Linked DNA regions of Drosophila melanogaster. The protein of the gene in region 1 interacts with the protein of each later gene in a pairwise test. Each region holds a gene or a part of one and is shown on either strand. Other genes may lie near its edges. The genes, in order: dpr17, CG7203, PIG-G and GstO1.

The links.
Region 2: the proteins of dpr17 (region 1) and CG7203 interact in a two-hybrid assay, tested with the Drosophila melanogaster proteins (one large-scale study listed by BioGRID).
Region 3: the proteins of dpr17 (region 1) and PIG-G interact in a two-hybrid assay, tested with the Drosophila melanogaster proteins (one large-scale study listed by BioGRID).
Region 4: the proteins of dpr17 (region 1) and GstO1 interact in a two-hybrid assay, tested with the Drosophila melanogaster proteins (one large-scale study listed by BioGRID).

The regions. Positions count from the first base shown.
Region 1 is NT_033777.3:12,090,588-12,099,094, forward strand, and holds the start of dpr17 (defective proboscis extension response 17), read left to right. Parts: upstream 1-4,288; 5' UTR 4,289-4,713; intron 4,714-5,042; exon of another isoform or gene 5,043-5,461; 5' UTR 5,462-6,089; coding exon 6,090-6,429; intron 6,430-7,498; exon of another isoform or gene 7,499-8,069; intron 8,070-8,507.
Region 2 is NT_033779.5:7,749,966-7,757,108, forward strand, and holds CG7203 (uncharacterized protein), read right to left. Parts: upstream 3,222-7,143; 5' UTR 3,143-3,221; coding exon 3,137-3,142; intron 2,850-3,136; coding exon 2,466-2,849; 3' UTR 2,205-2,465; downstream 1-2,204. Other genes in the region: CG46025 (uncharacterized protein), read left to right, coding at 6,352-6,965.
Region 3 is NT_033778.4:7,513,807-7,523,041, forward strand, and holds PIG-G (phosphatidylinositol glycan anchor biosynthesis class G), read left to right. Parts: upstream 1-5,473; 5' UTR 5,474-5,567; coding exon 5,568-5,731; intron 5,732-5,794; coding exon 5,795-6,353; intron 6,354-6,414; coding exon 6,415-6,545; intron 6,546-6,604; coding exon 6,605-6,819; intron 6,820-6,877; coding exon 6,878-7,092; intron 7,093-7,144; coding exon 7,145-7,875; intron 7,876-7,935; coding exon 7,936-8,704; 3' UTR 8,705-8,735; downstream 8,736-9,235. Other genes in the region: CG1603 (uncharacterized protein), read right to left, coding at 521-1,357, 1,414-1,776, 1,837-2,100, 2,162-2,458; CG1602 (uncharacterized protein), read right to left, coding at 3,208-4,161, 4,219-4,572, 4,629-5,054; Orc1 (origin recognition complex subunit 1), read right to left, coding at 8,878-9,235.
Region 4 is NT_037436.4:8,521,615-8,528,775, reverse strand, and holds GstO1 (glutathione S transferase O1), read left to right. Parts: upstream 1-3,909; 5' UTR 3,910-3,973; coding exon 3,974-4,001; intron 4,002-4,058; coding exon 4,059-4,642; intron 4,643-4,701; coding exon 4,702-4,823; intron 4,824-4,878; coding exon 4,879-4,909; 3' UTR 4,910-5,034; downstream 5,035-7,161. Other genes in the region: GstO2 (glutathione S transferase O2), read left to right, coding at 5,345-5,375, 6,458-7,044, 7,104-7,161.

The DNA.
Region 1 (8,507 bases):
TTTTTTTCCACAGAGCACGCGACCGCTTCGTTAAAAACTTGGATTACAACTGAAGCGGCGAATTCTCGGCGACGTAGTACCAACAACTGAGCGCGCTATAGCTAGCTATATAGCCATTGCTTCTCTTTCGCTCGTTTGAGAAGAGAGCTTTGCACTCTTCTTACCAACTGATAAACGTTAATTGGTGTTGCCAGCCCGCGTTGCCAACTACTGGGGGTCTTGGGAAAAAGCTAAAGCTGGAAAAGCTACAGCTAATTGAACTATCGCTCCAGGTAAACCTATAATTTAGCATGGGACTAACAAGCTCACGGGGGAATTTCCCATGAGTGACGAGCATTAAACACCGATGATTAAAGTCGGGTAAATATATTACGATCAGTTTAACGCTGTAATGAATACTTTACACTTTTTTTTTTTTTTAACAGAATCTCTTAATTAAATAGTAATAGCTGTAAATATGGTTTAAGTAATGTTTAAATATTAATAAACATCCAGATACTTAACTTTAAATTTCTTAACTGCGTTACCTACGGGTGCAAAGCTAATTACTTACCAAAAAATAATTTTTCATATACAATTAAAGGACCAATTACCAAGCACGAGGGACTAAGTATTTTAAAATTCCCATTTAGGATGTGTTGTGTAAGAAAAATGCCCAGCTTACCACTTAAGAGGTCTGGCAAGCCCACAACAATTAATATAAAATAAAGCGTTACGATTATGCGAGACAATCTTCATTAATTAGACGCAAGTCGAACATAGAACAAATTAGCCAAGGGTTCGCATCCAGTGGGGGTTTGCGACCCCAACCAACAATGTCATTAACGTCACGTCGCTTTCGCCAGTGTCTCCTTCACCTTTTCCCGTCGCAGGATAAAGGGTGCAGTAATTATATTTACCGTTAATCCTGATTCACCACAAAAGGATAACGACACGCAGGGCAAAGGGTGACCGCCTGAATAGGAAAAAAAAAAATGCAACAAAGAGTGTTAGTAGCGCGAATGTTGTTGGTGCTAAATGTGGGTTACAGCGGTTACAATCAACCTTAATGAACCCGAAAACCAACGCACACGTTTTATCTAGCATTTTTAACTTAGTCAACTAAAATTTGGCTGAAATCAGGGAAAAAACTAATTGCTCACAGAAAGAAATGTGGATTTTGAGTATTGTTGAGGAATAAAAAAATGTTACTGTTACAAAAAAAATGTTACTGTTACAAGGTATCACTCGTTCGACTATTCGGCTTGCACTCGATTCCATCTGCAGTTCATTTACATAGTATTCGATTAAGTGCAATTTACTTTGCGTTTCGATTTCTATGGGTTTCCTTTCTCTATGGCATTTGAAATGAAAAGCGTGAGGCTTAAAGTGCGTTTGGCTCGATTGCCTGAACACTGAAATCAAGTGCGGTAGATTGTGAGCTGCTGGTTGCACTCAAACCCCATTGATTCTCGAACTTTTGCTGGTTCCCTTTAACAATAAACACAGCTCAACTGGCTCAAACCGCAGGTGCAGACTGAACTTTGGTTCTCTAGGTTGCAGTTAATGTTTATCTATTTCCGAATATTGGTTTTATTTTTCTTCAATTGCTGTTCGTCATTCAATTCTTTGAAACCTAAATTTACATGAAATTTTCTAACAGAATTAACACTTGCGAGCCTCAGGCTGTCACATCCGATTCAATAATAACAAAATTATAATTTGCATTATCGTTTGGGTCTTGTTAATAGGACACTCTAGGAGTATAACTTGTTTGGCCTAAGTGCATAAATTGCTAATAAATTGTCACAACATTATGCATATTGGTATTTTCCAGACCATCTCCTTGGCTCTTCAATAGTTTTCCTTCACAAATATTTCATATCGTAGATGCATTTTCCGTTGTACTCGCAGGATAAAATCAAACCAGATTTTCTCATATGTGTATGCGTGTATGTTGCCTTGTACCGTCTATCAGAAATTTGTCTAGAATGTCATTGAAAATTCGCATATTCGGAGAGAGCAGAGTTGGGCACCCTTCCAAAACGAACAAGGATATGGACAAAGGAAAATATATATTTATATGCATTCGCAGGGAAAATTGAAGTCTGAAGAAATCTGAAAAAATTGAGAAAAGCAATCATAATGTAGATATTGAAATATATTGACAGGCGTGCGACTCGAGAGTCACTCCCCAAAATGAGCAAACCAATTTTTGTAGTTCAAGTTCCTGTCCCAAGAGAAATGATGTTTGCTTAAATTTAGCCCAGATGCGATTGCCTCCAACAAAAAATATTAATTTATTTACGACCTTTATAAAAAGTGCTAAAATTAACAGCTGAGCAATGTTTAGCTAATACAAAGCCATCAACTTTCTGTTTGAGGTCTTTGGGAAGAGCAATTCCGACGGACCATCAAAAATGTACTGAATAATTAATATTTATTTAAAGTTTTTGATAAATTTAGCCTTGTTAAGGGCCCAAAATATTTTTTTTGTTATAAAAAAGCAATTGTTGCTAGAATCTATGTTTTAAATAAGATTTACAGTTTCTTAATGGATAGAAATGGAAAATTATATGTGCCAGAAGTCGCTTGTGTAATATTATATATTTTTAAGAGTACTATGCAGTCGCTTTACTGCATACTACAATTTTGATCTTTTGTTTTATTTCACAACTCGATTGATGGGCTTTTAGCAGCTTTTGGTTTTTGTTGCCTGGCTTTTGGCTTCGATAACTGGCGCAACTGTTCACTGTTTTCACTGGCTCAAAGGCGACATAAAGTATATTTTGATTATTTTGTGAGCCAGAAGTTGAGCATTTTAAGGCCCGCCGGCATTTGCATTTCAAATATACTTTTACGACAGCCAGCCAGCCCCTTAGCCTTTGGCCCGCATCCCGCCCGACACCTTCCGCCGCAGGATCTTTTGCTGCGGGCGAGACGAGGTGAGCCACATGGAAGTGGAAGTGAGTGAAATACCACAAATGGCGTGTAAACACAACAAAGAGGTAATAACAATGGATGCCAACGAGGTCCCTGACTTCAAGGACCAATGGAAGGGCGGCAAAAGTAGCCGAGGGGAACTCGTCCGCATTCCTGGAGCCTTTGGGAGGAGTTCTTTACGCAGCGCAGGGGGGGATGGGGGGATGGACTTTGGCACCAAGCGCACCCGCACTTTCGAAAACATTTTTATTTGTTTCTCCGTAAGCTGTGTCAATACACAATAAATTGAACTGAGCAGGAATTTATGTTGGTCCTGTGTGAGGATATTCAGCACCCTATCTGCCCGCTGGCTCTGTTATCGCACTGGGGCGTCAATTGCCTGTAGGCCACCGCCCCCTGGGGACTTAAAAGTTCAATAATATTTATTTGTTACTTGCTCTTTGACAACAAAGCACACGAGATTATACTTAGTCCTAGGCCGTCGTTCATCAAGCCGCGCATATTGGCCCACTCCATTCTACATAATGGCATATTGTCGCACAATACCCGAGACCACAGATATGTCTTCGCCGGGGCAGTAAATTCCGGCCACTAAAGGCGATGATTTTTCAACAGACACCGAGCTAATTTAGTGACCGAATGCCAACGCGGTCACCACCGTGATTTACGGGGTCACCATTTGCACGACTCCAATTATTTGTTGGTTGCCTCGTGACTTTAACCTTAGAGAAAAGTGCTGAAGAACGGATGAGTATATTTCAGCTTAGATTAATGTCAAAATAAAGCTAACACTCGGTTTAAGAGGGAATAGAAATTAACTGCTTAAAATATATATTATATTTTAGGTCGGTTACAAACTGCTAACTCTTAAACTCTTTCATTTTAAAATTGAATAGCTACGAGATTTATATATTCCATGTATCAATCTTTATACCATTTTTAAGAGGCGTCAATTCATATTTTACATCATGGTCGATTTTTGGTGGCGTCGAGCGAACCAATTGATATTCATGTGCGACTAAAATAGGCATTTGTCCGGCGGAAACAAGTGTTTTGTTGGTCATCTACAAATGGCATCCGCGGAATAAAAAATAAATCTTCAATCTTCTGTTGCCAAAGCAGTATTAGCGCGCAGGCGCGAACAAACAGCCGGCAAATAACCCGACGGTTCGATTCCGAAAATTCAGTGCAACCAGAGGGATGTGAACGGCACAAAGCTGGGGAAGTTGGAAACGAACCGGTATGCCACATGAAACAGAGGAGAATCCGATGTGGAACGCTCGACGGAATGGCTATGAATCGGCACTATCCGCCTCGGAATGTTAAGAACTCGATGGGAAGTGGGATGGCGTCGCTCGAACGCGACTCAGTCGAAAATTTGAATCCGGTTCGCGCGGACGTGACTCGGATGGTGGAAGGAAACCCAGACCGCAAACGAAACCGCAACCAGAAGTCAATTTTACGCGTTTATGTCTGAAAGGGACTTGTGCTGAAGAGGCGGGAGTTAGGAAAACAAAATGTGACAACAGAAACGAAGAAAAAAGTTAATGGAAAGTGGCAAAGAAAGAAAAGAAGAATTAAGACAAAGTTAAACCACTTGATGTCCTCTTGGGTGTCCTGTGTCCCGTGTCCTGCAGTGCCGCCTGTCGAGTGTCTTTTGCCGAAATCACTTTTAAAATTTGTTTGCTCCCGCCTTATGCAAATGGATATTAGAATGCCGCGCTGAATTGCGAAGCCGAGGAACAAAAACAGGACCGAAGAAAACAGAGGATTTCTCCAAGGACGCGTAACGTAAAAAAGGGATTATTGTGCATCATTTTGGGCAGCAAGAATAATGCCAAGGAGGGCGAAATAAAAAATATTCTCAAGTCGGATTATGCGATAAATTGTTACTGAAGTGTAAATGTTTTCTCACGTGTTAAATCATTAAATATAAGCCACCCAAGCTGCACACAATTCGTTTAGAGCCCGGCCATATGGCCATTGTTACCTTTTGCCACCGACCTAAAACTCAAAGAAAGCCCATCGAAAGGCAATGTGAAACTTGTTAAACACTATAAATGGTCGAAGTTTTTAAGGTTTTTTTTTGTGCGAAAAGTTTTGGCCATTAGTCATCGAGAACATTGTGTGATAGTTCTGCATGAAAGCCGTGCAAGTTATTAACTTTTAAGAAAGTGAGCCGGGAACCAAGAAAAAGGAAATTCTATGTAATTAATTGCAAAACGATTATGAAAGTTTAAGTGGAAATAAGTTGATTTATATTTCTTGGCAAGTTCGAGCACTTGACTTTTCCATTGATTGAGCTGTTGAAGTAAAACTTCAAGATGTAGAAATATGTTTTCAAAAGTTTTGTTACCATGCAGAAGTGTTAACTCTGTTCAGATTAGTTTTTAAAGAAATACCATTTTTAATGGTAAGGTTATATTTTATTCTTGTTTTAAATACGTATTTTTCTTCACGTGCTTTTAATACTCAATTATATGGTATCCCAAAACCACTTTTACAATCACAATAAAATCGTATGCAAACAACATTTTAGGTAAATGTAGTTATTAGGGATTAAACGGATTTGTGCTGTTCAACAAAATAAGTTTTGGAAGAGACCAAAAAGCTAAATAAACAAATTGGATTACCATGGAATAAAGTCGAGTTCCGATGCCAGTTTATTTGTCTATGCTGGTGCCACTGCATCGCCAATAAAAGTTTGCCACTCAACAAAGGCGAAAACACTTAAATAAATATATAAATCAAGCAACACAAAAATTGTGCAAAACCAAGTGCAGAGACCGAGTAAGCCAACAATGGGTTTGCACGAAAATCGCTTGAGAAAACGCATCGAAAAACTTGTGGCCGACCCATAAAGAAGAATTGCAATTTTTTGTCGAAAGCTAGAAATAAAATCAAATGAAATAAAATAAAATAAAATGAAACAGTATAGAGGTTAGATAGAACCCAAATGGAGGCAAGCCAGGACCCAAGCCAGCCCCAAGTGTATTAATTCAATAAACCTATTTATCTGAGACTTCGACTGGGATTTCGAGAACGGAGCAGAGAATGCGACAAAGTTTGCCAGCCAAGACGGCGCAGTGCAATCAGCAGATCCTGTCTGTCCTGGTCCTGGCCCTCGCCCTGGTCTTGGTCCTAAGGAGCACGAGAAGCCAGATTCGATGCCGCAAACGAGTCCCAATTGGAGGCAGGCGGACAATGAGCGCACAAAAGGCGCTGTAAGTGTCATTGCAGCCAGGAACTGGGCCACTGGGACTGCCACGCAGGACTGGAGCCAGAAGAGCAGCAGTAGCTGGAGCAGCACCAGTCGAAGAACCGGAATCAGCAGAACCAGGACCAGGCCAGCCACGTTGACAACCGAGATGACAGTGGCAGGACGAGCAGAACGAGCAGGAGTAGGAGCGCCGTGGTGTCGCCGATTTTTCCATACATCCCCACTAGCGTCTTGGCTACGCATCAGCTTCGTCCTTTTGGTCCTTCCAGCTCTCGGCTTTGGGATACGTAAGTACAGCTGGGGGGTTTCCCTCACTCCTTGCGTGTGCGTGTGACTTTCATACATTTTTGATTTAATTTAACGCATTCACGTCGCACACTCTAACACACAGTTAACTGGGGATGGAGTCCTATGAACGGGTGGAATACACTTTAGGATTTGATATTCCCTAGTGTTAAACCAGATCCCTCTCTTTGCAAAGGTATCAAATCAGGAAAATGCAGTTTTTACATTTCTTCCTAAATGCACTTTTGTATTTAAACCTTAAATCATGCCTCGTAAAACTAGGAAAACAGCGACATCCTTTCAGTGCATTATGTTCTCCTGTTGTTCTGCCAGATTAACAGGATAAGTATCTCCAACTCCTCGTTTCCTTATTTATTCGGGTACCGGGTGAAAAATCTTATGCGCACTTGGCAACACACACATGGATAATTGTCCTCGTAAGCGGATCCCAAGACGCGAAATAGCTGCTGGCAAATTGTTTTAGTAGTTCTGGATCAGCTGGGGGAGTGGAGGCAAGGAAATTGTCGTTCTTTGAAATTGCGGAGGATGAAACTGGGGGCTGAGCTTCCCGTTGTTTCATTTGATTTGCCGAAATTAGATTAGAAGAAGCCACGGGGCTAGCGAAATGGGAAAACAATGGCCCATAAAAGATGACAAAAAGTTGTGCGGCATTGCGGAGCGATTCCTTATATAGGGGTTCTTCTGGTAATTCTATTTAATAAATAATTTAATTCGAATTTTCCACGTAATTAAGATAACTTCCTTGTGCACAGTGACTAGTTAATATAATTTATTCTGACCCGTAATAAGCACTTGAAGATGAAATATTGAGAAATATGCTAATTATATCGATAGATAGTGTCATTTTTATTCAAGCTAGATATATGTACTTGAAAAAATTGATAACTTAAGATCATGAATGCTTTTAAATTTCCAATCGGCTTTTCATTTTGTATTACAATCTTGCCTTGTTTGAAATTTATTTTACTCTACCAAACTTTCACAAGTAAGCAAGTGATTCAATGCCATTATTAGTATTTATTCCTTAAACAGAATATAAGCTCAAAATTTGTTAAAGTTAAGTGATCTAAATTTCTTGTAAACCCTTTTTTAAAATGGCATGTGCTTCATATGGTGCGTTGATTATGGAAGTTCTTAAAGAAAAGAAGTGCCCAGTGACTTATCGAGAAATCTTAGAAGAAGTAGCCTTTAAGCTTAAAGTTGCAAAAATGCATATAAAGGGCAGCGTAGATGTTGCACTGCGAATTGGCGTAAATAAAGGACATATTCTCAAGACTGGGCACCGATTCTACCTGATGAAATCAGAAAAAAAAAAAAACAAAATGCGAAAATGCCAAAAAAAACTTGTAGATCGAATCAAAAAATGCCGACAGGATACGTCGTTGCTTGATAAAGAATACGATTTTGAGGTTTTGACATATTCCGACGATGAAGAGGCTATGGTGTTTAATTATGTAAATCAAGAGAAGTCAAGCAGAAAACAGAAAACAATACTCCGATGCCATAATCCAGTGTTCAATCCGAAGTGTTAGAAGGAAGGACACAATATGGTACTCACAGAAGTTCAACGTCAATATAAAAAGCGAAAAACGACCAACATAAGTACAAGCTGCCAAAGAAGGTAAATTTGTAGTAATATTAAACTTAAACGGTTTGTAAATTTTAAACCAAAGAATCCAGTTTTTAGGTCCAAAGCGGATTTATATAAAATATGTCATTTTTTACCACAAAAATTTTAAAATACAATACCCATTTTTAAACTTTAAAACAAACATCCGCACCTCTTATAAGTGAAAAAGTTTTAAAATGGCCCACCGTTTCCGCAAATAGTTTCGTAAGGTCCTTAACCTCATTGCTTTCCATCAGCAAAAGCAGCTTCTCATTCTGTCGACTGCCCAATAATGGAGGCAAAAATAAAGCAATAAACTATAACCCTTCGTATAACTCTACGTTGGTCCTTTGGCTTTGCAGCCGCACAAAAATATTAACGAAATTGAAAACTTACCAAAAAATGTTTAATAAACACGTTTACAGCAGTGTGGACTTACCCCTTTCTAAA
Region 2 (7,143 bases), on another chromosome or scaffold:
TAAGAAAGCCGTGCCGTTATAGTGTTACGAAATCCATCCAGCAATGGAGCGGTATATCTTTTTATTTTGCTTCTATGGCTTCGAAAATGGATTGCAAGTGTCCACGGAAAAACGCCCTGTTCTGTTCGATTCTGCAGAATGAATCACACTCGACTGCAGAACTTGCTCTCGATCCTTCGCCGGAACACTGACCTTATTCAACAACTCATCGCCCACACGAGAGTGGATGGCTTAAATGATGTAATGCTTATATACACTTGCAAAAATATCTGTATGCGGATTCACAAAAAAGTCCAACTTTTCTACACACCTGCTCCATAAATGTGGTGTGGCATTTTTATATGCTTTTTATTGTCAATAAAACTAATGCGGATATGGCAAATTTTCGAGCAATAAACGATCTATTTGGAACTACTTTTTATTATCTTTAAGTTACTCAACTTATAATAAACACTTAAATTGAATAATTGTTTATATAGTATAAATTACAAAATTTATGAAGTCAACATTCTTTATATGTAATTAAATTGCACAGAAGTAGCTTGCCATGGTATTTAATATGCTTTTTATTTACCAGCAACAATTTACTATTTAAATAGTTCATCATATTAAGTCAGATAGTAGTTATCCATAATATGATCTAAAATCAACTACCTTTGAGATGCAAATTGGCAAACTTAGTTTCCGTGTGAACTAAAAGTGAACTGCCTTCGCCTTGCCAACGAATGAAGTGCGAATTGCGTAAACCACCAATAATAAAAGCAAATCCAACGCAGTGGGCCAAGTTGAACTCGATTCTGCGTAGAAACCAGAAACAGCTAAGTGCGTTCGGCTCAAGTGCAGTGAACCCGTTCGAAGCAGGAAGCAGCCGCAAAGTGCGTAAACTTGAACTTGTCGAAAGGGGGCTGGTGGTGGCGGTTTAAGCCAACTTGCATTCGGTAGCCGCGTCATGCGTTCTTTGGTTTTGCGTGCACGCAGCCGCCGATCGAGTTAAGCCCACTTGTGGCTAGCAAAAGAAAACAAAAAGTGAATGGCTGGGTCTAGATTTATGGCCAATTGCCATGGGGCTTGGCTGCCGACACGACACTAAACAACGCGGCAAAATGTTTCGCTGCCGTTTGTTTAGCTGCCACTTGGCTCCCCGCCCCCCAACTGAGTCGACTCCCCCTCCCACTCCATTCCCCATCCCCTTTCTTGGCCTCACGTTTCGCCGACAATTGACACTTTTATTGAAAGCCTAGGCATTTTTCGCTTATCATGTTTTCCGTCAAGTCTATTTTCGGTCAAAATGTTGGGGCATTAAGCCAGTATATTTAATATTTTTGTATTGAACTCACCATATGGGATACCCTGAAAATTATAATTTTAAATGTCTTATAAAAAAATATATAGACATAAGAAAGAACGCTTGAGTCGATTTCCTCAACTATCAGTTACTCCTTACTCAGCCGCTGGAAGTGCAAAGAAGAAAGTTCAACTATATTTTTGGCATACTGAAATTATTAATATTTAATATAAATTGCAATTTACTATTCATATATTTCACTAGATATAACAGCATATAGTCCTATATATCCCATCGGAATCGGGATCATCGCCTAACGGGTTTCAGGGGTCTGCAGTGGGCGTTAAGGCGGATTTGATCTGAACCGCATTACTTTGCATGGGCATTACTTAACTTCATCGCGGCCATATCAAGTTTGTGCACATTTTTCTATTAATAATTGCAAGTGCGAGTGTGCGGCGATCAAGGCAAACCGCCCCTGCTCCAGATCGAGTAGTACTCTCGTTTTCAGTTCAAAGACCAGTTCGGTTCGACGGCAGTTTGTACTATGAGTTGGCAACAAAGTTGTCCAGCTGCCGAGCAACTGCGTCTCATTTCTGGAGCGGCTTTTTGTCAACGCCCCTGCTGTAGCGCCGGTCTGAGGCCCCGGAATTGATTAATTACTGGCATCGGTAATCGGCCATCGATCGAGATTGTTTTAAGCCATTTAGCTGTCCAATGTTTGCTGCACTTGAAGGCGTGGGAGTTGGGCTAAGGGTGTGGCTTCTAATTGCCGTTAAAAAAGGTGAGTCGATCCCCTGGTAATTGCGTAAAAATTATTTGAAATAAATATTCTGGGACCACGATCTAGATACATCTGCTAATGGCATATAAATAGTTACTTAAGCGCTAGCAACCGTAACTAAAACGCCTTTCAACTGTTTTAATAACATTTTTTTATTCAAAAAGAAACAAATTTCCATGTGACAACAGCGGGGTGGATAAATATAGACCAGAGAGTAAAGCGGAAAGCGATAGACTGGATAGGATTGACTTAGATTGCTGAAGAAATGAGAACCCAACGGGATCTCAGCAGAGGACAGACCTTTCGGTAACTTAAAAAACCAAAAAATGTGGTAAAGATGCGAGCAAGTGGCGGTCAGGATCAATGTAGGGGTAATCCAGAAGTCATTTCAGGTGATTACCAGGTGCCTGGTGCGGGTTCCAAGTTCACGGAAGCAGCGGACTGCACATGTCCTGGCAGAGGAGCCACATGGACAGCTCCACGGGTCTTGGCCACATAGCTGGCCTCCGGAGCGGCGACGGCCACCACGGCGGGGGCGTGGGCAGCAACCACAGCGGCGGGAACGGGAGCGGCAACCACCGCTGGTCCAGACTGGATGAGCACGGGTCCGGCTGGGGACAGGGACAGGGGAACGGCAGCGGGAACCGCAGATGCCTGGATGGCCACCGAACCGGCGACGGCGGGAGAACCGACCACCAGACCATGGGCGGAGGTCAGGAGAGGCACCACCGAGCTGTTGACACCCCAGGCCAAAGCGAACAGGACTACGACAACGGCGAACTGAAAATAAGAATCTTGATTTAGATGGAAACTCAGGAACTATGATAAAAATAACTTATTTGAAGTTTTTTTAATTTTGGAGTTTCTCTGAATGGGGTCGTAATGTGTTCAGCGATCTGATATTAATTTATGTATAACTCGATAAAGATCTTTTATGTCTACTTTTGCAGCATACCAATTTGTATAGAAATGTTTTACTAAAAACAACATAAATCCCTTCATGTTGTCCTTTTACATAACACTAGCTGTAACTAAGCTCCAGTTATCCGATATCCCTTCAATCTCACCTTCATGTTGGCTTTTGTGATCTCAGTGACGCTTGAAACGAAACTAACTGACATCTGCCCGTTGGCCAAGTGCTTTTATAGCTCCGATCCATAATTTCATTTAGCATATAAGGCCAGTTCTCGGATTGATCAGCCATGTGTATGTTTGCTGCACAAATGCGGAAACCGGGCCAGAGAACAAACCACGTAATACCTTCAGTCCCAACCCCAACCCCAACCCGAACCCCTTGACCTTCCCGAATCAATAACCACAATTCATTGACGACAATTCAAGTGCGCGACAATTAGCCACACCGGTTGACATGACGAAAACAAGACTGGTCTCATTTGATTCGGCCAATCCATAACCATGACTTCAATATCTGTATATGATATACACTAAAGCCATGTCTCGGGTGCCCCTAACAACAATGGATAGGCAAATTACAAGCCACCGCAGCACCACTGTGCCTCTGTACCACCATCGCCCCACACACATTCAGCACCACTGGCTGTCCATTTAAATTTCATCAGCAGAATGTAATTAAATTCACTTCGGTTAGCTCGCCCTGAAATTAATGTGCCGGCCGCCAGTTGTCGGCAAACTGATCCATTTTGGTCACCGACTATAGATTTCTCGATTGCATTTGCATATCACTAATGCAGTCAACGCCAACATATGTCCAGGAATACCATATAAAAATCAGAGTCCATATGTAGGAAACGATTTCACTACAAATATTACCAATCCTTAAAATATGAAAATTAAATTTTGTAAATTTTATTTGGTATTTAAATATAAAATAATGGTTTATAATTTAATATATGTTAAGTTATACCCCCTTTTGTAGAGTAATCCGTAATTGTATATATAGAACATATTTATTGATTCCATTAAGAAACGATAAGTAAATCAAACCACTTTCGCTTTTAAGTCGGAAAGCAATTCTACGTAATAAATTACAAAACATTTGAATATCAGTAGAGATTGTCATACGTTTAATTTTTTCTAAGTAAGAGCTGTACATTTTAGGGTAAATTTTTGTGAAATTAAAAATTTAACAACACTATATCTTTCATTTAACAGTCAATTAAAGCTTTTGTCAAAGCAAAATCTTCAGTCAGTATACACAAATAACTAATTCCGTTTCAAGCAAGCATACTTTATATTTTCGAGTACTATACTTGATGTAAAGAACTCCCACTGAGAAGCAGAATCAGGCTTGGTTCTAGAAAGGATTCGGAGGCTTTAAAATGGCACGCCTGGTGTTTACGGAGAAAGATCACAATGCATACGATCCCAAAAAGTATAAGGTAACCACTGCCGGAATACAGTCCATAAAATGAGCATTAATCTCCAACTTTTATGTTCATCCAAAGGTGGTGCACAAGAACCACTGGCGACAGGTCAGCCTGCTGCTGCAGCCTTCCAACAAGAAGTGGTGGGAGGATCCCGATGTCATTGTTGCGTGAGTAGAGAACATTGAGGGTCGAACCACCAGCCAGGTGGGCGGTGGGGAAGTTTGAGTGGTTGGCACACGTGTGTCAGAATTCATTGCCGTCAAGTGCTTTTCGTGCTGTTTATGGCTACACTGAGAGGAATACTTAGTAATTGTAGGTAAATCAAAAAAGGATTTTGCATCAAGTGAATAGGATTCGGAATCAAAAAAAATCTTTTGAATTTAATCTTGAAATACAAATTTATACCTTAACAACACAAAACTCCTTTCCAAAATTAGCTGCTTTTCTCCTGTGCACTCGAGTTGGCCAATTGGTTGGTTCGGTGACTCTGACACCGATTGGCTCCAATGCAGCGCGCTGCCATTCAATTAAGATTCTTTGCCACAGCCGCAGCCATAATATTTTATTGCATCCATCAAATTGTCAGACTTACACATAAAGTATTGGCCTGCCACACCCAGAAATATTTCCATGCCAATTAAATGTGCGATGGGGAAATATTCGCACTCAATTGCATCACATCGTCTGATAAGATTATTTATCACTAATCCATAAACTAATCCTGCTGCCCAAACTTGTCAAAAAAAAATCTTCTTCGGCTTGAGTGGGTGGTTCTAATTTCCGGACAACATTCAGTCACGCGATGCTAACGAAGTCTTTGATAGATGGCTCCAACTTCTCGAATGCAAATGAACACCCAGAGGCGCGAAGGGGAGAAAGTGCAGCCATCAGCTGTCGGCGAAACTTTGGCAAGTAATTGGGGAACAGGAGTGATGGAAACGGGAAATTGACTTGGTTATTCTCACTGGGTCGCCGGAAAACTCACGTTTCGCGGGTTGCCTTGCTTTATGTAGCACTAAAGTCGGGAATTGTGTGGCACCAAGGTTAAGATTCTTGCCAGATATGGGGTAAATTGAAACTGAACGGACTGTGTCCTTAGAAAACTGCGCACTTTTGAGCTTGCATAAAGCAAATACCGAGAGAAAAGTTAAAATATAAGGGTTCTTAAGTGATCTATTGTGAAAGAACTTTTGCAGTGCAACTAAAGTGCTTTAGATAATTATGCACCAAAGAAGATGCATTTATAAATCAATAGAAGAAAAAGCTAATTTAATGTATTCAATTTTCTATTAAATTGCTATCTTAGTAAAACCTCACTGTATAGCGAAGGTACCCTACGAAATGGGGCTAATGTCAAAACAGTGTGTGGTGGAGAAATCCATTGGGCAACCCCTCGCTCCATTAGCATGGGTTTCACTTGCCTTTTGTCTGGGCTGCGTATCCACAATGATGCGAGGTGCCAGGAGGCGAGGGCCCACCCAAAAAACAATCGCGAACGGGGTAATGAAAAGGCATTTGGGTGTGGGAAAAAAGAAATACCATATAATACACCAATGCAATGCCGACACTTTGCGTGTTCAATAAAAAGGAAAGCGGCGGCAGGCGGAAAATGGTGTCAGTGCGAGGACAACGAAGAAGGAAAGTACTTAAGCGGCGCGTCACTCAATCAGAATGATATTATTTTTAATGGCGCAAAATGGATACAATAAACAGCGAGTACGAGCGCGTGGCTGCCACGCAACGGACACGCCGACGGTGGTGGCGCCTGATCCCACCTAGAATCAGAGAATCACCAACAGAACCAGAAGCACAGCCAGAATCGTGTGCGATGGTAGCCATATAAAGTTCGGTCGTCGCAGGATGAGGACGAAGTTTTAAACGGAATCGGAAACTTAATTACATTTCAATTTGGGCCTAAACAAACTGTTCCGCATATGTCACTCACGGCCATGAAGTCTGATGCCGCCGGGATCGGAGTGGTGGGCGTGGGCGGAACTGTTGCACTATCCGATTCCCGGGAATGGGCACCCCCGCCGCCGGGCAACCGATGTGCCACAGTGACTATGCTCCTGGCCCAGCGGATTGCACGCAATGCTTGCTGGTCAGTCGACGAGGAGCCCTCGTACAGTGCGAACAAGATGAACGTCTGGCAAACGCTGGAGTACCTCTCGGGGTTGAGTCTGCGTAAGAAGTACAACTACGAGGGCTTCTCGGACACCCAGAATGTGATCAGAACGCTCACGCCATCGTGGCGGCGCGATAGTTTTGCCGAGAAGGCCAAGGCCGAGGAACTGACTGGCGGAGCTGCTGCCTCGACGGTCAAGTACACCGATGAGCGCTCCTCGAGTGCTCCCATCATTGTCATCCAGGATCCGGGCATAAGTACCAGCTTCCAGAGCAGTGATAACGTTGCCTTGGGCGTCCGTTCCAGGGCAAAAAGTCCATCTGGTCTTCGCAGGAAACATCGCAGTCGGAAGCGTAATACTCCGCAGCTAGATCCTGAGTACGCTCTCTCGCCGGAGGATCTGCAGGACCTAGTCAAGTGCAAGTAAGACTAATCCTAGAGATTTCAATTCAACCAAAAGTTGCTGTTTTTGCACTGTGAGTCTACTTTAATTTATAATTATAATTAAGAATCAATTCATTTGATCCGCTTTAAAAGACATATCACTTAGAAAGGCTCAAGTAATTTTTCTAAGTGTAACAATTCATAAAAGCTTTTTGCA
Region 3 (9,235 bases), on another chromosome or scaffold:
ATATATTTCATAAAAGAAATATAAATACATTGTTAAAAATGAATATATATAAAATTTTGTACACGTCATTTGATCAAAAATAATAATAATAGAGCTGCTAGCTCTAGAGCTCTCCGCTCTCTGACTTTTGAACAAAAACTCGGGAGAGCCTCAAGCCAGCTCTAGATCTAGAGCCAGAACCAAAAAATCATATGTTATTCTAATATCTCCTCTACAAGTAACGGTTATACAAATTTATCTTAAAACGAACTTATTTTTCCGGCTTCTTCTTTTTTTTATGAATAATACATTCCTTAAACCAAATTTTGAAAAGGAAAGTATGAAAAAGGAAAAGCTTGTGCATATGATTATCATACACATGTTCTTATCAAATACACAAAAGCCGTAAGTGCTTAACAACACGCTTGTTATTATCACTACTCTAACGTAAGTTTATTCTTGATTTACATCAAATGAAGCTTACTGATTCTCGTTATCAAAAAATAAAGCAGTTTCTAAAAATGTCCCTCAAGGCGAGAGTTCATTCCGATCTGTGGCTGCGGCGATGTCTGGAAAGCGAAGAATGGTCATAGAACGTAGCATCACAGTACTCGCACTTCTTATCACGGATATTCAGATGTCCTTTGATATGGTTGGCCAGCTCGAACTTCTTGCGGAAGGTTTTGGTGCACATATTGCAGCTGTAGGGTCTAATGTTCAGGTGAACTCCGTTGACGTGGTGGTCCAGGAGTAGCTTGAGCCGGAATGTCTTGCCGCAGATGTCACAGACGTGAGGCCGCTCGCCCGTGTGGATTAGTGTGTGCACCTTTAGGTCGGTATCCACGGCGAACGATTTTTCGCAGTACTGGCACTTCAACTTGCGTTCGAAGTGGGAACGCAGCTTGTGACGGTCCATGTCTACGTGGCGGTCGAAGCGCCTCGGGCAGAACGAGCAGAGGTACGGTAGGTCGCCCACCTCGTGCGCCTTGACGATGTGCACCCGTAGGTTGTAGTCGCCGTGGAAACGTTTATCGCAGTAGTCACAGTACAGCACCTGACTTTCGGAACCCTTGGCGGGCAAGAAGCTGCACATTTGCAGATACTGAACCTCTTGCTTGCTGCACTTCTGAATTAGTTCCTTGGATTTGAGGCGACGAATGGCATCGTAAAGCCAACGGCGCAGCTTGTTGACCGCAATGTAAACGTCCGTTTCGTTGGCCTTCACCACTGGCTGGAATTCCTTTGCCATTCTTTTGAAGGCATCTGCACGTATCTCTATTGAGCCAAAGTCTGGCAACGCTTGATTATACAGCACGGGATAGTTGGCATAGGTCTCTATGAATGAGGTGGTTATCAGGTTTTCCTCCTTAAAATTAAGCTGAAAAAAGGATTTTTGGTCAGAAAAGAGCTACATTATAGTGGGCTAGTTATTACCTTAATTGCAGTCAAGTCGTTGTCCTCCTCGTTCTCCCTTGGCGTTACAACAGGCGCCACACTGAGGAACTCGCACTTGGCAAAGTAACGCGCTGCAAGTCCAACAAGCTTTCCCCTTTGTTTTGTCTCCAAAGCCAGCGTGTACTGCACGTGCAGTTGCTCGAGCGTTTTCTTCAGTTCTTCCACGGTGAAGAGAACATTGGCCTTGCGGTCCATGCGTTCCATTATCGCCTCGTAGGCCATGCTTCGTGCAGGCTCGTCCTGGTAGTGTTCATCGGAAGGGTTCCACAGGCAGGGATGCTCTTTGTACGCTTGGATCAAATGCAGCACACGGGGATTGCTCCGAATAAACGAAACTTTGAACTGAATGACGCCGTTAAGTGGAATGAATTTCAGCTTAAGTGAAATATACTACGTACTAACCTTGAAAACCTGTCCTGGTCTTGTTCGCCTGGGCGGACGTCCAGGTTTTCTAGGAGGTGCCAAGTCATCCTCAGACATAAAGAAGTCACTACAATCAACATCATCATCGTCTGTGTTTAGGGGTATGTGATTTTGGGAAGACTCGTCCATTTGTGTGACTTCCTTTCCGGCTGGAAGTTCCAAAGAGCTGCCGCCTGGACCGAACTCCCAGGAATTGTTTGTAGCTGCAGACCAAGCGGTGGCGTCTTCCTCGTACTGGATATCCTGCGGTCAACGAGAGCTCACTTATTTGACCACCCTTGGTAAGCGAGTGAAAGAGTCTTACCTTGCTATCAGCTTCCATCCATTGATCGACCCCATTGCTGTTTTCGATCACCTCGAAGAACTCATCCGGCCCATAGGCGATGGCTGGGTCCGCCGCGTCAACGACGCTGTATAGCTCCTCGGTATCCTCTTTGATTTCATTAATCCTAACGTCCTCGTCTTCGCAGTAGTGCGCCGATTTCACATGGACGATGAACAGCTCCCAATCCTTCAGCTCGCTCTCTATGCTGCAGTAGAGGCATTTCAGCCGGAACATCTCGTACTTGGAGTTGGTCATCACATTGCCGCACAGCTCCATGCTTACGTTGTGCGCTCTGATCTGACTTCAGCTTGAAAAATGTTCCTTTTCTGAAAATATATTCGTTTATTTAAGGTAACAATTTTTTTATGCGTTTGGGACTGTGTTGGACAACGACTGAAATAATTATGTATCGATAGACTATTCGATAAAAATCTATTTTTAAAATAATATTTAAACACAATTTTATGAAGGCTTAAAAGAAAACGTTTTAACAACTGTTGGTGGTGCTTAAAAATGATTAAAAATCTGCATTTCATGAATGAATCTTTAAAGTAACTAGTACATTTCAATTTTCGAAAAAAAATGTTATAAAATTCTAGTACTAACCATTTGGAAAAATCAAAATCAATCAAGCTTATTTGTTGAGAAATTATATTTTTTTTGTCATATCGATAGAAAATAGCGAGACAAATATGAACAGGAAAACACCAAAACGTTTTTCAAATGTATGGGCGTTACAGTTGTCGGCGCCTTGTGGGCGTGCCAACATTTTGGAAAAAATAGCGCAGCGTAGGCAGGGGAATGTGTTTAGGCTTTTAGATGTACATCCCCAGATTTCGACAGATGGACATGGCCAGATAATGTAGAATTTATATTCTTAATTATTAATATACATTCTTAAACCGTTATATAAATAAATTTGTTTAAACATATTGTTTCACTCTCATTTGTGTATTTTTATTTCCCCCCATTTGCAAAAGATTGCCTATTTATAAACTGTCATTTTATTGCAAATTTAATCAAATTCAGTTCTCTGCATCCACAGCATCTTTACCCTTTTGTGAATTATTACGAAGAATGTTGTGGGTGCGCTTCATGTGCGTATTAAGACCCACAAACTGGGAGAACCTGGAGTCGCAGAGTTTGCACACAAACTTCTTCACCTCGGAGTGAATCTGCCGGTGTCGGATGAGTGCATGGCAGCTGGTGAATCCCTTACCGCACACACTGCAGATTTTGTCGCGGATGTTTAAATGGCCCTTGATGTGATCCGATAAGTCGACCTTTTTCACAAAGTCTTTGGGACACATGGTGCACTTGAAGGCTCTGATCTTCGTGTGAATAGCCGTGACGTGGAGCGTCATTTGGGACCGCAGTCGGAAGGCCTTGCCGCAATGCTCGCAGACGTAAGGCTTGTGGCCAGTGTGCGTACGGATGTGCAGCTGCAGGTCCGACATCACAGCGAATGAACGCTCACAATGGGTGCACTTGTGGGTCTTGCCGATATGGACCCGCTGTATGTGATTAGCCAGCTCGCAACGTCCCACAAAACTTCGGTCGCACAAGGTGCATTTGAAGGGCAGCTCGCCGATGTTGTGCGCCTTGAAGATGTGCGACTGCAGGACATGATCCGAGGACGTAATCTGGTGGCAAAATTCGCAGACCAGCCGCTGCTTGTACATCTTTGCAGGCATGAACCGACACACCTCTAGGTAGAACTTCTCGGCTGTACTTCCGGCATAAATGGCATGCTTAGTGTTCTTGTAGTACCATTGGCGGAGATTCTGGATGGCGCGGAATATGTCATCGCTGTTGATGTCCACATTGGGCACTGAGATTTCCGCAGCCATGCTCTCGTATGCCTGTTTTCGAGAGCTCATATTGGAGAACTCCTTGTGGTTGGAGTCGTATAGCTGCGGAAAGTTTGCGTACATCTCTATCAGGTCGGTAGTCAGCTTGTTTTTCTTGGAGAAATCAAGCTGCGGGCAAAGTATGCTTGTTAACAATTTCAATTTGAATTAATTCAAATATCTTGCCTTAATTTTTTCGTTATTCGTAGCCCCTTCTTCATCGTTGCTAGCGTTCAAGAAGCAACACAATTTGTATATACTGAAAGCCAGCGATTGAGGTTTCTGTTTTCCAGACACCACCCGCTTGTGCACGGTGTTGAACTGCATGTGGACTTTCTTGATGGCCAGCTTTAAGGCCATCTCGTTCAGGAATACGGATACAGTTGCCTCCAAGTCAATGGCCATACGCTTCAGGGCTTCTTTGCATTTCTTGGGTTCCTTGTAGTCGCTGTGAGCGGGATTCCAAAGGCACGGGTGTTCCTTGTAGATCTCTATGAACTTTATGGTTCGGTGATCTCGGCGAAAGAAGGATGGATGAAACTGAAGTTGAATGCTGAGATTAGTTTAGCGCGTTCATGAATGGCTTCTAGAAGTACCTTGTATGTGGGTGTGGTTTTTAAATTGGCATCATCAAGAGCTGGTTCACTTGGATCCTCGTCCTGGACGGATTCTTCTTCATCTGTAACCAAAGATACGTCCGACTCCTCAGTCTCGTTTGTCGACGAACGCACTGCGTCAATATGCAGCTGTACACAGGCTCCGTCCGCCGATTCGTCTTGCTGGAATATCGACTCTTCCGCTTGGGGTTTCTCCTCTGGAGGATCTACGTGCCCAGACTCCGTAGAATTTTCCCCCACTGGCTCGAAGTCGTCTTCCATGCTCCTTACTTTGCTATGCACGTTGCGGATGTGCAGCACAAACTCCTGCCACTGGGCCACCTCCACGTCCGTTGGACAGTAGGAGCAGCGCATCAGGAACTTCTCGTAGTCCCTGCTCACACAAATAAGGCCGCAAGTTTCCATTTTAAGTTAGAAATAACAATCAAAAGCGTTTGTTTATACATATCCGACTATGAGAGACCATGGGCGCATTCACAAATGGGCAAAAGGGTTCGACAGACGATATTAAATTCGTTTGTTTTATAAGTATCAAATTTAAAAAATTTCTTTTATATGTAAGATTTTAAATGTAAATTAAGATAAATTAAGTATAAAATAATATACACTTCGAGAAATGGCAAAACGTTAGTAATATTATGTAAATATTAATACTTTTTTTCCATAAAGCTAACAAATTTCCTCTCTTAACTCTTTCGTATCAATAGTTTTAAAATAAATATAAATTATACGTAAGACTTTAGCATTTATTAGTTTTATGTGCCTACGCCCCTGAAGTTTTGCTTGCCGTCTATCGATAGCATACAGCACTTATCGATTGTCTAGCCTTTATATTTGACTTCCAGCTGACGGGCGGCAATTATATTGAATTTGTTGTGGTTTTCGGTGGAGCGCGGTACTTTCGATGAAAACAAGAAGATGGAACAGCACAAAAGTTGGCTGGTCTATACCATCGGCATGCTCACGGCGTTCCTTTGCGGCGCCGTGCTCTTTCTGATTGGCTTCTTTCCGGCCTCCTACTCGGTGGCGGAGAAGGAAAGCACCGTGCCAGAGGGCCGGCCCACCGCTCTGCTTGGCATGGAGTGAGTTTATGAGCTGATAATTGCGTGAGATAGCGCCCCTATAATGCTCGTTACCCTTTACAGACTGACGCCGCCGCCACCTGCCTATGACTCCTTTGTGCTGTTACTGGTCGACGCGTTGCGCGATGATTTTCCCGATGCCACGTCTATGCCGGTGGCTTATTCTAGGGCCTGCGAGAAGCTTAAGCTCCATGTGGACATACCGACGGTGACTATGCCACGCTTGAAGAGCATCACCACCGGCACCCTTTCGAACTTTATCGACATTGCGCTAAACGTGGGTCATACGGAGCAGATGCAGGACTCGTTCTTGCACCGGCTAAAACAGCAGAATCGAGTTGTTTCCTTTGCCGGCGACCACACCTGGGTGAAGCTCTTTCCCAGCGAGTTTACACGGCAGGTCGAGAACCATGATTCCTTTTATGTTAACGACTTCTACGAGGGCGATAGAAATGTGACCAAAACGCTGGAGACTGAGTTGGAGCGGAGTGACTGGTCTTTGCTGATTTTACACTATCTGGGCCTCGATCACATTGGTCATGTCGAGGGCAATGCCAGCCCTAGGGTGCCCCTAAAGCTAAAGGAAATGGATGAGGTGGTGAAAAAAATATTGGATCATAAGGTGAGCTATTAGATAGCTTAATATAGAGGGAAAGCTGTAAAGTAACTCCTTCCCTATTTAGAGTTTTCCCAACGTTCTGCTTATGCTGACTGGAGATCATGGCATGGCTGATGGCGGAGGACATGGCGGCAATACGCCAGCCGAAACTCTGGTACCTTTATATTTGTATTACAACAACTGCAGCAAAACACCGTAAGCCCCAAAAGTACAATCTAAAAGAAAAACTGCATCTACAAATGATTCTTGCACAGATCCGCCTCAAAACGGTACAACCAAATCGATTTGGCGCCCACCCTTTCAGTGCTTCTGTCTGTTGAAATACCCACGCTCTCCATTGGCTGCCTAATACCGGAGATGCTGCAATCGCTGTCTTTGGAGCACCAGTTGTATGCTTACTTCTACAACGCCCACCACTTGCTCAACAAGGCGCGAGTGAAGTTCGGCCACGAAATAGTCCATCGGAGTGGTAAGGTTATGATCCCTCCGCGCCGATTTCTTTAGTTAATTATTCATTCATTCTCCAGATTACTACACCTGGTATCAGAATGCCACCCTGTTACACAAGAAGCTGCTGCGCCCTTTAAGAGAAGGCGATGGAGGTGGAGCTAGTCAGGTTTACTACCAGAACGCCAAGCTTAATTATATGCGCGTGGCTCGCGAGATTTCTGATCTGCTCTCCGAATCCCTGGTGAAGTTCGACTATGGATTTATTGCCGTTGGATTAGCTTTGACCACATCGGTAAGTTTTCTGACCAGTTTTTAAGTACGCTATAGTGACCACGTTCTTTCAGACATCCCTTCATATTGTGATCAGCGTCTTGTACTTGGATCTCACCGAACAGCTTCAGCTGGACGGATTAAAAGTGGGGCAACTGTGGCTCTCTGTGATTGCTGCTGTCGTCTTAAATTATACTAGTCATGCATTGGACATCATCATGACCAGTTCAACGCTTTACAGCATTCTCCTATTGGTACCCATCTCGATCGCTGTTTACCTTACAATCGACGTGGCGCAGGCGCTGCTCAAGATTGCATTGCCTCCGCTATACACGCGTCGCCTGAAGATTTCCATTCCATTGCCGCTACCTCTGCTAGCTTGTTATGCTATACGCACTTTAACTCTTGGTTCCTCCTCGTTTATTGAATTCGAGTATAATACATGGTATTACCTGGGCAATACCCTCATCCTATTGACGGCATTCCGAACGCTGCGATGGCGCATCACCAAAACCAACGTGGAACTAAATGGCCGTCATCTGTACACGATTGCATCGACCTGTCTGTGGCAAATGCGTAAAGTGCTTGTGGTGCTTATGCTGCTCACATTGATGCGCTACATCCACAGGCTGCAGGCTATCCGGAGCACCGTCGTCATATTTTCGATGCTGTTGCTCTGGGCACGCCTCCATCGTCACAGCCAGTTGCCGCAGTCGTTGGCCAGTGGAGCAGCTTTATTCATGGTTTACTGCTTCCGAGGGCTAAACGGCCAGGTGCTTTTCTTCGACGTGCCTTCGCACATGGCGTAAGTTTAAATGAGTTCAGCCTGAATATTGTGGTATAGTATATTTTTAATAATTTCCAGTGCAAAACTTATGGTGCCGACGCTGGTGATCTTCTGGTGCTGTTTGGCCCTTGTTTTGATGCTGGGCTATCGGGCGGCACTGCCTCAAGCGCACAGCTTTGGGAAGGTGCCGCCCACAGGTGCATTATTGCAGTTGCTGCAGACGAACCTTACCAGCTCGCTGCTGTTGGCTGCACTTTTGCAACGGGTCCACAACATCTTACTACTACCCGTACTTCTCGTGGCCCTGCAGCAAACGTACAAGCTGTGCGATGTCTACGGCACCAGTGCCCGAAAGTTCTCCGTGCGATTGGTGCATGTGTACAAGATCATCATGACCATATTCCTGGCCAGGATGTTCTTCTTCTACCAGGGTAACTCGAACAGCCTGTCCACCATTGACCTAACGCCTGGTTATATCGGACAGACAAACTACAACCCGTCGATCGTTGCCATCTTTGTCACCCTCAACACGTACAGTGCGGATATTCATGCATTCCTCTATTTAGTTGTCCACACCCTGCGCTCGGATCTGCGCAGTGTGGGTATCATGCAGCTACATCCTCCGTACTCGATAGCCGCGGATTCGCTGATAGCTCCGCTCTACGCCGCGCTAATCATGTTGCCGGCGGCCTTCTACCTCTGCCTCTTGGTTGGCTTCCGCTACCACCTCTTTATCTACTCCGTGTTTTCCCCAAAAGTACTTTACGACTGTTACACTGTGCTGGTGTTCTATTTGGTATTTTTAGTAACGAGTTTGTACTTTAAATTGTTTAAACATGACGCTTAAAAAGAAATAATTTAAAAACGCTTAAGCTATTACAATGTTGTATGAATAATGAATGATTTAAAAATGGTGGAAATGTGATAGGTCAAGTAACCTGGATTTGGAGTCTTAAAAATGGAGATGAGAATTTAATGTGCTTAATTAACTTCTTATTCGTTTGTTCTTGCATTATGGCCTTAGTTGACCATCTCTTCCACTCTGAGGGCGTAGTGAATGTCATCAGCGCTGACGTTGAGCAGGATTTTCTGAAAGAGGTCATTGCGGGAATGTTCACTGATGATGAGTCGCTCGGCGCCCAGCTTGGAGCACAAGCGCAGGGCGCGTCCTGGTGGTGGAAAGGTCACGCCCATGAAGGCGGCAATAGTTTCCACCTGCTGATAGACGCCCATGAAAGTCGTCTCCTCGACGCCAGTGCGCGTAACTTCAGCTGCAATTGCCTGCAAGAAGATCTGCTCCATCCGCGAACAGTTCCTAATGGCCTGCACCTTGGCACTGGCTATCATCTCGGCCAATGCCTGCTGCACGTGCAGCATT
Region 4 (7,161 bases), on another chromosome or scaffold:
GTGAGCTTTGCAAACGCTTTGCAACTGAGCGGCGCGCGTCGCTTGCGGTTCGATTTATAAGCCAGTTTCATTGCTGGCTAATTGAGTGAGTGTGTACGTATGTATGTCTGTATATATGTATATTTGTGTATTATATATCGATGTGCATATGACTGGGGACCACATTAAAGCATACCCACATCGAAGGCGTGCTAACTTGGCGGGGCGTGGCTGATTCTGTACCATGTCCAATGTCGACGAGAACGAAAATTAGAACTCAATGATTCCATCTTAATTTTGAGCTCTTAGCCAAAATACTTAATGCGGTTCGAACTAAGATCTAATTAAAACGTCAATATTTTAGCAGATCAACGTATTATTATTTTTATTCCATTCAAACTAATTAATTTAAAAAAAAAATAATTTTTTGGCCAGCCTTCAATAATTTAATTATTTTACCATTGCAATCTGGTGGTCTGAGAATTTTAAAAAAATGTAATCTGAAAGTACTATTAGTACTTCTATTAAATTTACTTACTATTTTTTCAATATAAATAAATAAATAAACTTTAGGAAAAACTGCTTTGTTTTTATTGTTTAAAATTGCACTTTAAAATCGTACATATCGAGAGGCTACTGTACCAAAAACGTACGATTAGATTTGCTGAATCGACTTTAGTTCGCATAACATCTCCATATCGAAAATCGCACGCGTCTGTTTTTTCCGAATTCTCGTGGTAATTGTATAGTCGGCAAGTCACTGAACTCGCTGCTCTCTGAATTCCATGTGTACACCAAAATTTCGCATGATATCTCCAACGAATAGTGCTGTCCCATACGGATTAAATTTCCGCAGAGTAACCCTTTTTAGATGCGGAAAGCTTATGCAGCTGAGTCAGCATAAATGAATTTCATATACATAGAACCTCCACATAAATTCGTTTGGCATCGCAAAAGATCTCCATGCTGAAATTTCAGGATAAGGGTGGGTCTCATTTCGCAAATTGTGAAATTCCAAAACGTTCTGATTACTTTTCGATGAGTCAACATCATGAAATTTCACATTAAATCTCAATTTCATATACTCAAAATTCCTGGAACCCATTCCACATTTTATGCTTCGATCGCACAATCAAATTTCGCATGACATCCGCACAAAAAGCCTAAAATTGAACACGCGATCGCTCAAAGTTCAATAGATAAAACTTGATGAGTAAATTTCACATGATATGTACATACATGGTATCTCCACGTTTTTAGGCCCCTGACACTGCATAATATCTCGTTTTATACATGTCACAACCTTAAACTGCGAAATTAAATCTAGAAACGTACTCGTAGAACTCCTCGCAAGATTTATGAACAACTACTATGCACAATCTACAGTTTGTTTAGCCTGAAATTTCCACCGTACATCTACATCTCCAGATCGTCTCTCTACCTGCTGAGCAATTTATCTTTTATCTTGGCCGCAACACAAACACGAAATTCATACCTGAAACTTCAGCGAAATAACCTGCGAAAAGGTGTACCCAAGAATCCAAGCACATACATACACACACAAATTTGGGCATTATCTTTTTTTTTTTTTGTTTTTTGGTTTCTACCTTTTCATAAGCCAAAGCTTGATGTGAAATTTCAGCAGTGTGTTTAGGAAGATATGAAAAACCTCGCGTCATGTGATGGCCACATGGAACTGAAGTTCTGGATGGGTAGAAGCCAAGTACACACAACTAGACTAAGCTGAGGTCAATCACGTCGGATTCAGATTCGGACTCGGTCTCGGAATCCGAATGGACAGCTACGGATCCAATCCGATTGGATCAAATCCGTACGGAACGAGGCTCTGACCTTGCCATGCTCGCCGTCTGCTGAATTACATACTATGTACGCTGGCTGGCTGGCCGGTTTAGTATTCAGCTAGTACGACCCACCAAGTGACACATAACTGATGTTGAAGGGCTGGCCATATGCGATAAATAATTCATCTGGGGGCATCGAAATGATCGTGGATCGCCGAGAAACGTTTGTTTTCCGTATTGAGTTGTTGGTTGCTGAAATGGTTGGCTGCCTCAGTTGTTGGCGCCTGGTTGCAAGGCATTCATAGCTGATATTGCATTTTTTTTTATTTGCAAATATACATATCAATTTTTGCAAATTACGCTGGCTCATGAATAATTGATTGGCGGCGGGCGTTTGGCGGAGAAATGGAAAAGTTCGCGCCCGATAAGGATGCTTCCCTTTTGGCCACCACCGGCACCACTATCTATGATTCATGCACCACCTACACTTCTAAAAAAAAAAAGACAAAAACAACAGAACTATGTGGAAGGCAGCCAAAAGTGCGAAAGGAACACATGTTGATATATGGGTCAGTGGCGATAACAGTGACGGCTTCCAAAGGGGGTTACGCATCCGGAATACAACTTAAATATTTCATATCCCTCAATGCGCAATACAAATATAAAATCTAATGACGTTATGTGTAAGGTGATAAGAGTATTTATTTACGCAAAATGTAAGCTGTGTACGTCGAACACGTGGATTGTAATTGTAACTATGATCGTTTGGATAAGTCTATTGATTTAAATAGAGAGAATGCTAGAGATAAAGCATACGCGATGTGAAGACTCATCCACGTTGTCTTCCCCCTTGAAATCTTATCTAGCCCCGCCAGTGGATGATAAGCATTCTGGCCCGTTTGATAACACTAATTCCATTGATTTTGCGTAATTAGGCTCTGAAGATAGCGAGCATGGAAATGGTATCAGAATTGCGCTGAATTATGTATAGAACACATTGATGATGTCGATCGAAAATAGCATAAAAACGTGCTGAATATCAGTGTAGTTACGTGTGCATCTGCGTATGTGTGTGTACAACAAATACATATGGATGTAAGTGAGCGGGTGTCAAAATCACACGCACATGGAAATGTCCCGCTATAAATAAATACGAGTGGGTGGTGGTGGGTGGATTTTGGGCGGTGGGAGGTGGAATGGGGGCGCGTCGCATGCACTTTCCATTCTGAACGAACTTATGCCAAGATTAAACAAAGGCGAATAATTAATGCAAGCCCACTACTAACTCACCCGTAAATTTGCCGGACTGTTTAGCACATCGCACACTGTAACACACACTCACACAATTCCCACTAGAGTTATTGCGGGATCGAAGATAATGCTGGACGATTCTGGGAGCTATAGCTTTTGCCGATGCGGTGGGCGTGAATGAAAGAGGCCGTAGAGATTACGCCGAGTGTCAATTACGTTGCAATAATCTCGGTTTGGCACGGGAAATCGAATCGAAGCGAGTCCGCATGGAGCGGCGAGATTTGCACGGGATACGGAGTACGGGATGCGGCCACCAACACCAACACGGGCTCAGTTACGCAAGGGCGAGCTTACTGTAAACATTTTCCGGACACGCTAAACATATGCCGCAGCAGCCATCTCTCTTTCGCTCACACCGCCAAACACAAGAAATCCGCAACTAAAACAATTTTGTTATAACAATTATCGATAGGCGGTAGGGATGTGGAAAAACACCGAATCATCCGCGATAGGTATCGGTGTTCCGTTGCTATCAACGCTACACATCGATGGCGATCAATGTAACCTCTTGCAGCAAATATTAAAAACGATAAATATAAATTGATTTTAGATTAATTATGTATATACAATATGTATTTGGAGCAGTGATGCAAATAGTCTATTATGGATATATAACCATAAATTATTGAAATTAAAGTCCTAAATAATAGATGAATAGATGACTGAATTATATTTAAAAAAATTAAAGTTGTAAAAATTAATATTTAAGATTAAGATAGATTTTTTTAAACCGATTAAATAATAATTGATTAAAAATACATCAATCCTGTAAAAAGACAATACGTTATCGAGCCACCTTAACGTTTACTGTCAAATATCGATAATTGTCATAACCCGCAAAACAGGTTGTGTTCCTTTCCAGAAAAAATTGTATTGCCAATATGAGCAATACTCAGCACTTAACTATTGGTTAGTATAAGTTACTAAGTTCCAAATTCACATTTAAAAGGCGCATATATATTGCAGGCTCGCCAAAGCCCGTATTTCCGGATGATGGGATCTTAAAGCTGTATTCGATGCGCTTTTGCCCCTATGCACACCGTGTGCACCTGGTCCTGGATGCCAAAAAGATTCCCTACCACGCTATCTACATCAATCTTCGCGACAAACCCGAGTGGTTCTCCCTGGTGAGCAGCTCCACAAAGGTGCCGGCACTGGAGCTGGTCAAGGAACAGGGAAATCCTGTGCTGATCGAGTCGCTCATTATTTGTGACTACTTGGACGAAAAGTATCCGGAGGTGCCATTGTATCCCAAGGATCTGCTTAAAAAAGCCCAGGAGAAGATTTTAATCGAACGTTTCGGACAGTTCATCAATGCCTTCTACTACCTGTTGCTGCACGACAATCCCGAGCAGCTGGTTGACACCGATCACTATGCCGGATTGGTCGTTTATGAGGAGGAACTGAAGCGACGTTGTACCAAGTTCTTTGGTGGCGACAGCCCAGGCATGCTTGACTACATGATGTGGCCCTGGTGCGAGCGCTTTGACTCTCTGAAATACACTTTTGAACAAAAATTCGAATTGAGTCCGGAACGTTTTCCCACTTTGGTGGGTCCTATTGGTTTTCTAATTATGTCTTTTAAATTACCGAGATTGTTCTACTGCAGATTAAGTGGCGCGACTTGATGATCCAGGATCGTGCTGTCAAGTGTTTCTATCTGGATGGACAGACCCATGCCAAATACATGAACTCCCGGCGATCGGGCCAGGCCGATTATAATATGCTATAGTAAGATTTGAAGATTATACATATAATGTGTGACTGATCCATTTCTCGTTTCTAGCAATGAGGCCAAACGTGTCAAATTGGGGTAGTCTACGGGATGATGGCGTTTCCACTTCAGCATTGTACCTTTTGCACATATAACATGTAACACATGTACCTACTACGGCAGCATTATTGTGATTGAAAAATAAATCTTTGCATTTTCATTGTTTATACGGGTTGTAAGTACGTTTGTTTTAGAATTAGATTAATGAAGGTATGAATGATAAATGGATATGAAAATACTTATCTTAGAGTAGTCGTTTGTAGTCTTTAATATGTGGTCAAACAATTTTCTTAAATATGAGCTTAAGAATTTTAAATTCACCCGCTCAACAATCGAAATATATTCGATAAATTCACTCGTCCGGCGACTGCGACCACTTTATAAGGTACCGGAATCCCTCTATTTGTTGTCAGTCGATCGGAACTACTTTGCCACCAACATTTCACGTCTTGGGAATTATTTTAAAATTGTTAACAAAATGGCCCTGCCGCAAAAGCACTTCAAGAGGGGTGAGTTGGGGGCACTTCAAGGTCATCGGGATAGTGACGCTGCAAAAGTTGGCAATTGATTTCATAGTTTTATCTAGACCCCACTTTGAGAGGCGTAAATTACGCAGAGATAGAGCTTTAATTTTAGCCAAAGCATAATGGAAAACTTTCTGCTGACGTCACAAATCACCCTTCAACAGGTTCGCCCAAACCGGAGATCCCCGAGGATGGAGTCCTGCGTTACTATTCGATGAGATTCTGCCCGTACTCGCAGCGTGCCGGTTTGGTTTTGGCCGCCAAAAAGATTCCACATCACACGGTTTACATTGATCTTAGCGAGAAACCAGAGTGGTACATCGACTACAGTCCATTGGGCAAGGTGCCGGCTATCCAGTTGCCAAATCTGCCTGGACAACCGGCTTTGGTGGAGTCCCTGGTCATTGCCGAGTACTTGGATGAACAGTATCCGGGCGAGGGCTCCCTTTTCCCCAAGGATCCATTGCAAAAGGCGCTAGACAGGATTCTCATCGAACGCCTGTCGCCCGCTGTCAGCGCCATTTACCCCGTGCTGTTCACCAAGAATCCACCCGCTGATGCCATCAAGAACTTTGAGACCGCTCTGGATGTCTTCGAGCAGGAGATCACCAAGCGCGGAACACCATACTTTGGAGGCAACAAGATCGGCATTGCTGACTACATGATTTGGCCCTGGTTCGAGCGATTCCCGGCCCTCAAGTACACTCTGGATGAACCCTACGAGTTGGACAAGACACGCTATCAGAATTTGTTGAAGTGGAGGGATCTGGTGGCTCAGGATGAGGCTGTCAAGGCCACCGCTTTGGATGCCCGAATCCATGCGAAGTTCATGAAGACCCGCCATGAGAACAAACCGGACTACGATGTAGCCTTCCAGCCCTTGTAAAGGATGTATTAATGGATGACAGGAAGCAACATACTTAAACTAACATTGTGAAACCGCTTTTAAAAAAATATTAAACCCATATATAAAGTAGACCATCAAATGTTATTTCTACCTTTTCAACTGGGATTTGGGTCAGTGCTTTTATTCCTGCCAATTAATCAAGCTTACATTGATCTTACAGGTTCCACCAAGCCCGAGCTGCCAGAAGATGGAGTTCCTCGTTTCTTTTCCATGGCATTCTGCCCCTTCAGCCACCGAGTTCGTCTGATGCTGGCCGCCAAACATATTGAACATCATAAGATCTACGTCGATTTGATTGAGAAGCCTGAATGGTACAAGGATTTCAGTCCTCTGGGCAAAGTGCCAGCCCTGCAGCTTACTGGGGTGAAGGACCAACCGACCCTCGTGGAGTCGCTCATCATAGCAGAGTACTTGGACCAGCAATATCCCCAGACGCGACTCTTTCCCACGGATCCGCTTCAGAAGGCGCTGGACAAGATTCTAATCGAACGTTTTGCTCCAGTGGTCAGTGCCATTTATCCTGTGCTGACTTGTAATCCCAACGCTCCGAAAGATGCCATACCGAACTTCGAGAATGCCTTGGATGTTTTTGAAGTGGAGTTGGGCAAAAGAGGAACGCCCTACTTTGCCGGCCAGCACATTGGAATCGTGGACTACATGATTTGGCCTTGGTTCGAACGTTTTCCCAGCATGAAGATCAATACGGAGCAAAAGTATGAGCTGGATACAAAACGATTTGAGAAGCTGGTATGTTTAAGTAATCCAACATAAGATGATGCATGTATCTCATCAAAAATCCATTACAGCTCAAGTGGCGCGATTTGATGACCCAGGATGAGGTTGTGCAGAAGACAGCTTTGGATG